Linked DNA regions of Drosophila melanogaster. The protein of the gene in region 1 interacts with the protein of each later gene in a pairwise test. Each region holds a gene or a part of one and is shown on either strand. Other genes may lie near its edges.

The links. The genes of interacting proteins can lie anywhere in the genome.
Region 2: the proteins of AP-2mu (region 1) and Rlip interact in a two-hybrid assay, tested with the Drosophila melanogaster proteins (2 studies listed by BioGRID).

What each region holds. Positions count from the first base shown.
Region 1 is NT_033777.3:22,460,215-22,465,732, reverse strand, and holds AP-2mu (adaptor protein complex 2, mu subunit), read right to left. Parts: upstream 3,279-5,518; 5' UTR 3,203-3,278; exon of another isoform or gene 3,143-3,202; 5' UTR 3,131-3,142; coding exon 2,954-3,130; intron 2,886-2,953; coding exon 2,447-2,885; intron 2,391-2,446; coding exon 1,693-2,390; 3' UTR 1,130-1,692; downstream 1-1,129. Other genes in the region: CG7054 (uncharacterized protein), read right to left, coding at 58-458; Rpn7 (regulatory particle non-ATPase 7), read left to right, coding at 3,811-4,980.
Region 2 is NT_033777.3:21,015,525-21,021,253, forward strand, and holds Rlip (Ral interacting protein), read left to right. Parts: upstream 1-2,159; 5' UTR 2,160-2,253; coding exon 2,254-2,350; intron 2,351-2,417; coding exon 2,418-2,550; intron 2,551-2,605; coding exon 2,606-3,490; intron 3,491-3,920; coding exon 3,921-4,683; 3' UTR 4,684-5,229; downstream 5,230-5,729. Other genes in the region: CG5697 (uncharacterized protein), read left to right, coding at 761-903, 977-1,235. UniProt on the Drosophila melanogaster protein: Participates in receptor endocytosis during interphase, is also involved in mitotic processes when endocytosis is switched off.

The DNA.
Region 1 (5,518 bases):
GAATGGGAATTGATCAGTGTCACAGTAAACTGATAAATATCTTAATATATATCATACGTATTGGATATAGTGGGCGTCTCCTCGATCTTGTTCTCCTGGCGATAGAGGAGGAAAATATACCGATGCAGGCCAGTGTCCTTGGGCGGTCCAGATCCAACGTAGTCCGCTAGGGAGTGGCCACCAGAAGGATTCTCATTGCTGCCGGGAATGTTGACCACAGACCAGTGCAGAATCTCACGGTACTTGGGATCTTGACGAGTCGGTGCATCGGGATCCACCATGAGCAGGGTCAATAGGTTGGACTTTCCCTCCAGCCCAGACCAGCTGACAATCGGTTGGTCCTTCACCTGGGTGGGGGTTAGCTCGTTGCCCTGCTTGACCTCCAAGTCATCGCCATAGATGACCTTAATGGTGCCAGCGGGAACCGCATCCAGCACATCGGGTACTATGTCATCCATGTTACGTGTAGCGTGTCAGCCCAAAAAGATGATAATACGGTTTTTTTTTCGTGGCGTTATCACTCTGCTGACCAAGCCAGCTGGGTGATAACAAAGCAAAAGCTTCACTCTGATTCAGCGGATATCTACGGATTTATTAAAATTTCCAGTCCAATTAATTAGTATCTGGATGGCGAAACCAGTCAAGGCTATCCAGCGCTGGCAACAGCTAACACCTAGAAATAATAGTTTAATGGACACAGCGGAATAAACTTTATCGCAGTGGGTGAACTGATTGGACAATGTTGATTTCTAGCGCCGATGGAAAATTGTGAAAAGCCCCTTCCACGATAAGCAAGCTTTTATGCCAACTGGCATTTTTAGGCCCTTTTTTGCTTTCCCAAAACGCAAAGATCACTTCCATTGGTGCGATGATTCATGGCTAGAAACTAGTTTTCACTTCGTTGAACATCATCAATAATTGTGACGTTAATTTCAGGATTTAGCTGATCTTGAACCAATGTGCACACGTGATAGCGAAGACAGCACTTGTGGGCTGATCATAAAGTTGTATATCACCCATTTATGAGGTTGTAATCGTACCTTTCCGTTCTATTGTTGGGCATATCAGTTCGATATAGGGAAAAGCCATATAACGATACCCTTTCACCAATGAGAAACACATCATTTTTAGTATATATCATGCTAATTTATTTATTAAACAATTCGAATATTATTAACACTTGAATATCAATATTGATAGCGCTGACAGAGTTTTGGTCTATTAAATACGCTTAGTTGCATTTATCGCCTTTGTTCTTTGCACAATGAAAATAATGATTAAATATACATATATATATATATTTATAATACGATAATACAAATAATAATTAGAGTTGTGAAACGTGAGCGTGAGATTTGTGAGACGTCCCGCGACGCATATAAAAACAACATAGTTTACATTTACATAGTAGGGTAAATCATAGTACCTAGTAGTGGTATGTCTATGGGGAACACGCCCCGCCCGCATAACCAGTGCTCGCGGAGGCAGTGTGTGCGGTATACGGCATAGGGTGTCCGGGGTGGATCCGCTACTCGGGCGTCCTCCGGACTTGCTGGAACTAATCTTGGAATACATAAGCTGCTGGTTCAATTTGATTGAGGAAATACCAATAGATGCGGTAACACTTTCTCCATTCATCTCGTTAAATTCAATTGTGATAATCTTGCTCCGTGATGGGGATGCTTGGGCGCCCTAGCAGCGCGTCTCATACAAGCCACTGCGTCCGATGTAGCGCACCCATTTGACCACATCGTGGTCGGAGTAGTTGAGCTTGGGCTCGAACACCTTCAGGTAGCGTACCTTGAAGCCGGACGGCGCGAATGGCACCTCAAAGTTCATGGAGATGGGCGGCCGAGTCCACTTCTTCTTGGTGTCCGTCTCCAAAAGTTCGATTTCCGCGGACAGCTGTGTCTCCTTCATGCCCGCCATGCGCTTAATCTTCCACACGATCGCGTTCTCCGAAGCCTTATATTTGGCTTTGCCCTTTAGGCAGATGAGCTGCACGCCCGATGTATTGAGCGGGGTTGGTATCTTCACCTCGATCTTTTGGCCCAGCAGTGAGGGCTTAAAGTTGGACTTCAGCACAACCTTAACCTCCATCTTGGTGCGGCCCACCTCCCGCACCAGCGGGATGACTCGGAATGGCAGCGAAATGTCTTTGGTGGTACGGTAACGCATCAGCTCGAACTCCCCGTCCGGCGGGATGAAGCTGATCGAATGCTCCGTCTCGAATTTGCTTAGCTTGACGCACTGATGGAACTGGCAGTCATCGATGACCACGACGGGCTTGCCGGAGCGTGAGGTTTCCGCCTCTGAATTTCCGGAGAGACCGCGTCCCTTAGACTCCATCACGATCTTGTCGTTAATCCCGAACTTGCACTCGGGCATGCCTACAACATGGCGATTATTAAAAGGAATAATGTCTAGATTATTTATGCTAACTTACCCGACAAATACGACTTCATTACCACCTTGCCGGCCACGTGGGCAGACAAAACCTGACCCTGCGGGCTCATCAGCAGGTTCACGTACTCCAATACGTCCAGGAAAAGCTCGTTGCGCCGGTACTTGATGCCCTCGCGACGCCAGCCAATCTGGCCGGTAACCTGCGAGGTTATCTGCATCTGCTCCTCCTTGGTGGCCGACTTGATGCCCTGCTGTGTGATGAAGGTCTTCAGGGTGCCGGAGTCCGTGTTCTGCGGGTAGCCAAAGTCGAGGATCTCATCCAGCAGCTCGTAGATGAGCACGAAGTTATTCTTGATGTTCTCCTCCGAGATCTTGCCGAAGTAGGATTGCATCACCTCGATGATCTTCAAAAGGAACTCAAACACCATCGCGGCGTTCACATTCTGCTTGGTCACAGCCGCCAGCCAAATGTTTGCTCTCTGTGAAAGGAGTTTTGATGATAAGTGGGAGGGTTGGTGATTGTGACATAGGAACTTTGTTCACCGACCTTGATGTGGAAGAAGCTGGTCCTCGCAATATTGGTCACTGGCGAGCGGACCTGCTGGCGGGCGTGGATGACGTTGACCCGAAAGGCGTCCACGGCATTCCGACCGATGTCGTCGCGGTAAACTCGCGAGATCAGCACCTCGCCCTTGTGGTTGTAGACGAACAGGCCGCCAATCATCTTGTGCGCTATCTGATGGTTAGTCCAAGTCGGTGTAATATATATATTTATATGCAAATATAAGATATATACATGGACAGTGGACGATGCTGTAGCTTCAAGCGAAAATTTTTATCAGAAAATCAATTTTCACTCCCCCTTAGTGTGGCCCTTCGAGGTCAGTATATACCATAAGTGATACGGTCTTACAATTATTTAAAAAGAAGTGTTTATTCGAGTTCTGGGCACTTCAAATCCCAGATTGAGTTTACTTCTTGGGATTTAGCTCGAATATTTTCAAAAAATATATAAGTCGTGTTATTGGAAAAAAATAGATTCAACAATTATTTTACAACTAAATATTTCTTAATTCTTCGACAAAGTTATCATGAAACATCAGTTCTTTTCTAGACAGCTCTCAAGTTTTTTTTTTAAATTTAAATTACTTTCAGAATTTAAAAATAAATTAAAATACAAATTCCCAATTGGCAATTGCACTGTTCTAATTTCGTCGCTATCTTGATGGACATCGCTCTGGTATTTTTGGCAATGTAAAAATATGCGGTATAATTTATCGATAATTTTGGGGTCACACTGGTAGTACATGACTCTGCGATTTGACAAAAACAAAATTGAGTTTTGTCAAGAAAATCAACTATTTTTCTGTGTTTAAAAAACCGAAGCCAACAAATCCGACCAAAATGCCTGCCGAAAACTTGGAGGAGCAGGGTCTGGAGAAGAACCCGAACCTGGAGCTGGCCCAGACGAAGTTCCTGCTTACCCTGGCGGAATACAAGCAGGATGCGGCATTGAAGGCGAAGCTTCTGGAGGCGATTCGCACGGAGAATATGGCCCCGTGGTACGAGCACATCTGCTCGGAACTCGGCTGGACCGTAGACAAGGATCTGCTGGCGCGAATGAAGGAGAACAACCGCGTAGAGGTGGAGCAGCTAGATGCGGCAATCGAGGATGCGGAGAAGAATCTGGGCGAGATGGAAGTGCGCGAGGCGAATCTTAAGAAGTCAGAGTACTTGTGCCGCATCGGCGACAAGGCTGCCGCAGAGACTGCCTTCCGCAAGACCTACGAGAAGACCGTTTCCCTGGGTCACCGCCTGGACATCGTGTTCCATCTGATCCGCTTGGGACTGTTTTACCTTGACCACGATCTCATCACTCGCAACATCGACAAGGCCAAGTATCTGATCGAGGAAGGCGGCGATTGGGACCGACGCAACCGGTTGAAGGTCTACCAGGGTGTTTACTCGGTGGCGGTGCGTGACTTCAAGGCGGCGGCCACGTTCTTCCTGGACACCGTAAGCACCTTCACCTCATACGAACTGATGGACTACCCCACCTTCGTGCGTTACACCGTTTACGTGGCCATGATTGCCCTGCCGCGCAATGAGCTGCGCGACAAAGTGATCAAGGGCTCCGAAATCCAGGAGGTGCTCCATGGCCTGCCCGACGTGAAACAGTTCCTGTTTTCCTTGTACAACTGCCAATATGAGAACTTCTACGTACACCTGGCCGGCGTAGAGAAGCAATTGCGCTTGGACTACCTCATTCATCCCCACTACCGCTACTACGTGCGCGAGATGCGCATTCTGGGCTACACCCAGTTGCTGGAGTCGTATCGCTCCCTCACCCTGCAGTATATGGCCGAGTCGTTCGGCGTAACAGTGGAATACATTGACCAGGAGCTGGCACGCTTCATCGCCGCCGGACGGCTGCATGCCAAGGTGGATCGCGTTGGCGGCATTGTGGAGACCAATCGGCCTGACAACAAGAACTGGCAGTACCAGGCGACCATCAAGCAGGGCGATCTGCTGCTCAACCGCATCCAGAAGTTGAGCCGCGTGATAAACATCTAATGTAGTTCATATAAAAAGATTTATTCAAATTCAACATTTATTACAGTGTAAAGCTAATGCAACGTACAATAATAAAAACGATATAAAACTCATGGAAATGCTCTAGCAGATTGTACGTTAGCTTATTATGTATTAACTAAATTCTTTGGAATTGTTTTGGTTACGCCGTCTTTAGTGTATTTGAGTATTATTGCAATCATTCCACTTTTGTACTTAACTGTCATTTGACCTGCTATTTATGTAAATTTAAGCCTAAGCGTCGCCCTCGATCTTCTCCTTCCACGACGGTTCCTCTTTGGTATCGCTACCATGCTGGTTATGACCAGATTCGCTGCCCGGAAAGGCAATTGAGGGTTTGTTGTTGGTCATGAAGCTGCGTGCCATCTCCTCCAGCGCCGCCGACGATCGGAGTCCGCAGTCTAGTGGCTCCTCCACGTCATGTGCCCGCTGCTGTTGTTGTTGTTGATGATGATGTTGCTGCCCCGCCGATACTTTTGCTGCCATGTCATGTAAGTTTTGGACCATCTCGTGAATGGGT
Region 2 (5,729 bases), 1.4 Mb from region 1:
AGGAGTATATGGCTTATCGTATTACCTTATCGAATCGAATAGAGCCTAGACCCTAGAGTTACTGGCATACGAATATATGTATTCCGTGCATGTTTACCAACCGAATCCCAATAAACTAACACATTAAACCGATCGATCTGGCTGTGAACTTTTCACTTCCCTGAAATCTTGGGCTTATCCTTATCGCTATGGGAAACTGGGGGAGGCGACTTCTCTGCTGCGGTTATGTAATGCCCCAAAAAAGCGCCAGATAAGACCAACCGCCGGTTGCGGAAGATGAGCGGATCGCCACGGCCCATGGAGATAAAGTTGTTTACAGGAATCCGGACCGAGCACAAAGACAAACAGCAATGGCAATAAAGCAATGGGACAGAGAGACAACCCAGCTGCAAGCTAATTAAAGTTGCGACAGAACGAAGCCAGTCGCCAGTAGTCCGCCAGTTGCGAATGGAGCAATTTCCAGCCGGGAGTGTTTGCAATCCTGGTACTATCCCGTGAGAAGGGCTGAAAAAGGACTGTAAAATACCCAGTTCCCATCTATAGTTATCTGTCGTGCCTGCAAGGGGCTACGGCAACTTTGGTGGTATTGACAAAAAAAAAACGAAAGATACATGTCACAGTTATCATATATAAATTATCAGTCATTTGAATAAATCATTATTCATTATTATTATTATTTTCACTTCTTGTTACAGATAAAGTTACATAAACTGCGTATACCCTCTTGTTCGGCACACATCCAGGGTACCACACGGCAAATATGTCCTGCAACGAGAAGACAGCGCTTCTGGCAACGCAACAAGGACATCAGCAGCGGCAGCAGCGGCAGCAGCAGCACATCATTGTCGTGCCCGCGACGGGGAAGGATCCAAAGGATTATGAGCCCATTTTCACAACTGCTGAGTAAACGCTTTCCGTCGTATTTCATTAAAAAATAACTTCGTTACACAGTGCCGCCTGCCCGCTTCTTTCGTAGCTATTCCTACGGACTGACGCTCGAGGAGCTCCTGCCCTTCGCTCTGGATCCCTGGTGGCAGGCCGTACGGCGCCTCAGCTGCGGGCTCCTGGGCCTGACTTTCCTGCTGACCCTGATTGCTGGACTGGTTATGGCCTATTCCGACAGTGTCTGTCTCCCAAATAGAGCAATTAGCAGAAACGCGACCACCACGACAACGATGGCCACGCCACTATCCTTGGCTCTCAACGGCTCCCAGCTGCTGATGGCCAGTTTATAGTGGCCGTAAGCTAATCTGTGTAGCATTTTGGAGATGCCGCAATCCACCCTGCGGAATTGCATCAGCCGCATCAGCTCGCACTATTAGCATTTGTTTGGCTTGCCGGTAATGGAGGCGACCTAATCCTCCTCCTCTCTACTGTTTACCCCTACTCAAGCTGAGTGATAAGCGATGCACCGCGGGATTGATTGGTCGTGAAATAATTATACTGATTAACTTATTTGCTACACAACCGCCTACTCGTAAAGTAAAAAGAATGCAAAAGGTATAAGGAAGCGTTTCCGTACCAATTAAGAACATTGTATCGCAAACTTATTAATTTTTATATATATACATATATATATATGAATATTACTTAAACTAATAAACGAATAGTTTTTTTTCATCGCTGTATTCTGGTTTCGGTTTCTGGGAGTTTAGAAGTTAACAAACCGCCTTATAGTTTTACAGCCCCACCCTGAAAAAATGGTTTGATTTAGTTTTATTTTATAAATAGTCTTGGCAATTTGTATACTTGTGAAAAAACATTTTCACCACGCCCACACTAGCGCGCACAATTAACAAAATCCTGTAGTTACAGAGGTGGTACTCTTGTCATTTTGGAAGTTTTATGTATTATGTAGTTTATGTATATATATAAAAAATATTTTCTTAGAATTTAAATTATTTAAAATATTATTATTATTATATTATATATTAACACATATTTATTTATTTATTTATTATATATATATATATATATATATATTAATATTATAAAAATTTAAGAGTTAGTAGCTGATCGCATTTCTGATAGTTGAGGAACTCGACTGTAGCGTTTTCTCTTGTTTCAATTTGCCTTTTTTTAAATATCTACACCGTTACTACATATTTTTTACATGACACAGTAGCGCCATCTGTGCACTTATCAGTGTTGGATAGCAGCGGCGACTTCGATTAAGCAATCGATTATTTGTTGCATATGTTGTTTACGGCAATTGTTTATATTTATTTACTGCTGGTGAAGTGATTATTCGTGATGGATTTTGACAGTCCCGAGGAGAAGGAGTTTCCCGGGCTGTACGCCTCCGAGGCGGCGGACGCTAAGTCGAGGAAGAGCAAGGAGGAGAGCGACTGTGAGTGGAGCGCAAAGATGTGGGCGTAAGCTGGGAAAAAATCAATGGGCTCACCTTGCCTTTACAGTTAGTGAGGATCACGACCATAGCAAGAAGGACTTGTTGATTGGCCGGCGCAAGGACAAGAAGGAAAAGGGCAAGGATCGAGGATACGCCGCTCTGGAGGGCGAGAGCTCGCCGGAGGAGGAGCTGGACACCAAGTGGGTGCAGGTCAGCTGACCCAGAGACAAGTAATATTTTTTCTTTTACTTCCAGAAGTCCATCCAAGTCGAAAAAGTCAAAGACCTTTAAGTTCACCAGCTCCAAGAGCAAGGAGAAGCGGGAAAAGTCGCGGGACAAGTCTGAAAAAGACTCGAAGCACGCAGAGGAGGAGCCTTCCGTCTCCCACAAGGTCAAGGAGAAAGAGCGGGATAAGGAGAAGGACCGTGATGAGCCCAAGAAGAAGGACAAGGAGGAGAAGCGCAAGGAAAAGGACAAGAAGGCTGACAAGAAGGACAAAAAGGATAAGAAGAGCAAGCAGCTGTCGCAGCAGCAGGACGACGTCTCCGCCGCGGAGGAAGTGCTGGCACTTGGGTATCCCGTCTTTGGGGTGTCCGTTAGCTTGGCGACCGAACGATCCCGCTGCCACGACGGCGTGGACATTCCCCTGGTTGTGCGCGACTGCATCGACTTCCTGCAGGATCACCTGAAGTGTGAGCAGATCTACAAGATTGAGCCCATCAAGACGCGTCTGATGCACTTCAAGCGGTTGTACAACAACCGGGAGCACGACTCCGCCGTTGATGAGCTCAACCTGCCTACCGCCTGCAGTCTGCTGAAGCTCTTCCTGCGCGAACTGCCGGAGCCACTGCTGACCACCGATCTGGTGGCCCGCTTTGAGGAGGTAGCCTCTCATCCGAAGGTAACCACGCAGCAGGCAGAGCTGCAGCAGCTGCTTGAACAATTGCCCAAGTGCAATCGCACCCTCTTGGCGTGGGTGCTGCTCCACTTCGACGCGGTGATCCAGCAGGAAAGACACAATAAGCTCAACGCTCAGTCGCTGGCTATGCTGCTCAGTCCGACGCTCCAGATGTCTCACCGACTAATGGTGGCCCTACTCTGCCACTGCAACAACTTGTTCGCGGACGTCCAGCTGATAAAGTGAGCAAACACCGGCTAGCCGGATAACAGTGGTGGGAAATATCCAAGTACCTTTGTGTTGGTAAAAGAGAAGTCCACATTTAACAACTATAGTTAAATCACAAGAACGAATCGAAGTCATAGCTCTGAAGTTAACTACTAAACTGTTAGTTTTAGTAAACTGTTAGTTTCCATATTTATCTAATGATATAAATTGTTTTTTTATATGTATAATAGGTACTTATAAGAACCCAGATAATTCCCACCACTGTTGGCAGTTGATAAGATTGCTGCTATAAAAATCGCCAGATTTAGTCGTTTATTTTGCAACCGACGATGAGCACATTACCCCGTAAACAGAAGCGCTTTCCACGTTTCGCCAGTTTTCTAATCAGGCAGAATGGCACACATTTAAACAAAGTTATCATAATACTAAATTGTCATCTCTTAGGTATGTGCCCCCTTTAACATCGACCAGCCCAAAGCTTCCGGATACGCCGGAGGACATCCAGACGGAGTTGCGCAAGCAGGACAGCCTCCTGTCCCAGATCCACAGCGAGATGAACGCCGGGTTCATTACCAAGAAACGCGAGGAACAGCTGTGGGAAGTGCAGCGCATCATTACCCAGCTGAAGCGGAAACTACGAACTTTTGAGAAGAAACAGGAAAAGACTGCGGAGGAAGTAGACAACAGCAGCAGTGCTCCGCCCGCTGTAGCCAGTGAAGATACCACTGACTCCAAACCAGCTGGAACTCCAGCCGTATCTACGAACAACAGTATTTCCCAGGAAGAGCCAAAAACCGATACACTAACTCCGAAAGATGCTCCTAACGATTTTACTATTGATCCCAGCACTGGCTTTATTTTGCTCCCCAAATCAAATCCGCACCGCGAAAATTTGCTGCGGCTCCAAATTGAATATGACGAGCTAATGGAATGGCAGAACGAACTAAAAGCACGTATCGTCGCCGAGCGCAACGAAGTCTATAGGCTCAAGCAGCTGTACGAGCAGCAGTCAATAAACAGTCAAATGGCCTCCTTGGCCTCGGGATCTCAGGCTCCCCCAGAATCCGACTATGAGCGGATAATCGAGCACTATACACGGGAGAATGCGCTGCTGGAGCACAAGAAGAATATGCTGGGCATGGAACTAAAGGAGGAACGACGGGCCTGTATTGCTCTACAAGTTGAGCTGCGGCTCCAGCAGTTTTAATGTATTAATTCGATTAATGTATTACTTGGATGGGTCAATTTGAGGGATATAACTAAGTTCCTATTCCGGAAACTTAATGGTCACATTTCCAAAGAAACATAAAAGGTCTACTAGGCAATCATAGGAGGTTTCTTAGATTCGTAGAAGACAATTCTATGTCACATATCTAAAATATTCAAATGAATAAACTTGTAAAGTTTTTGATAATTCATTTATCTGCAAACGTAGTCACTGTTCTAAACAGTGTCCTTTGTGAATTGCAATATATGAGAATTTTCAGTTCAGCTTTTAAGGAGATAAAATACTGCTAAAACATAAAACGGATTCCTCATGCCTAAAGTCAGTTTATTGTTTATTTGGAAATGAGCTAGTTTCAGACTTGACCCACCGAAATATATGTATGTATATAGGGTTACCAATTTTAAATCTCAATGTCTACTTGCGATCAAATGCTTTGTTCAAACTATAATTACTGTTAAACGGCGCAAAGCCCCAAAGAAATCTTGTTAGACAACTTTACTGCTTTCAACAATTAAATGAGAAAACAAACTCAAAATTCCCTTTTCTGTACTGAACTATTGCATCGAAATATGTCTCCTCGAAGAATTTTGTAAATGCCGGTAAAGTAGCTGCGTTTGTGTGTGCCGACAATCAAGATCCGATTTTCTAAATCGGTCTGATGACTTAATTCCAATCCGAGAAATACAGGGCACAGATTAGAAGATGTTTAGACGACGGATTGGCTGTTCGCTGGGGTGAAACGGAAATGACATCATCTCATATTACGTCTTGTCAACATTGTGATGGTCAAGGAACCGAGGTGGGCTTTGCGTGTTACGATTACTTTATTTAATATTTATTATTAATAATTTTAGAATACATTATCATTATGCATTACGTTCGGGGCGTGTTTTCTGTATTCCGCTGAAGTACAACTTAAAAATATCACACACAAATACCACGGGGGAAAGATGAGTCCTCCGGAATGCCAAACCGCGTCAACTCGCTCCCCTCCATGATTAAGTTATTTCCGCTGGACTACAGAT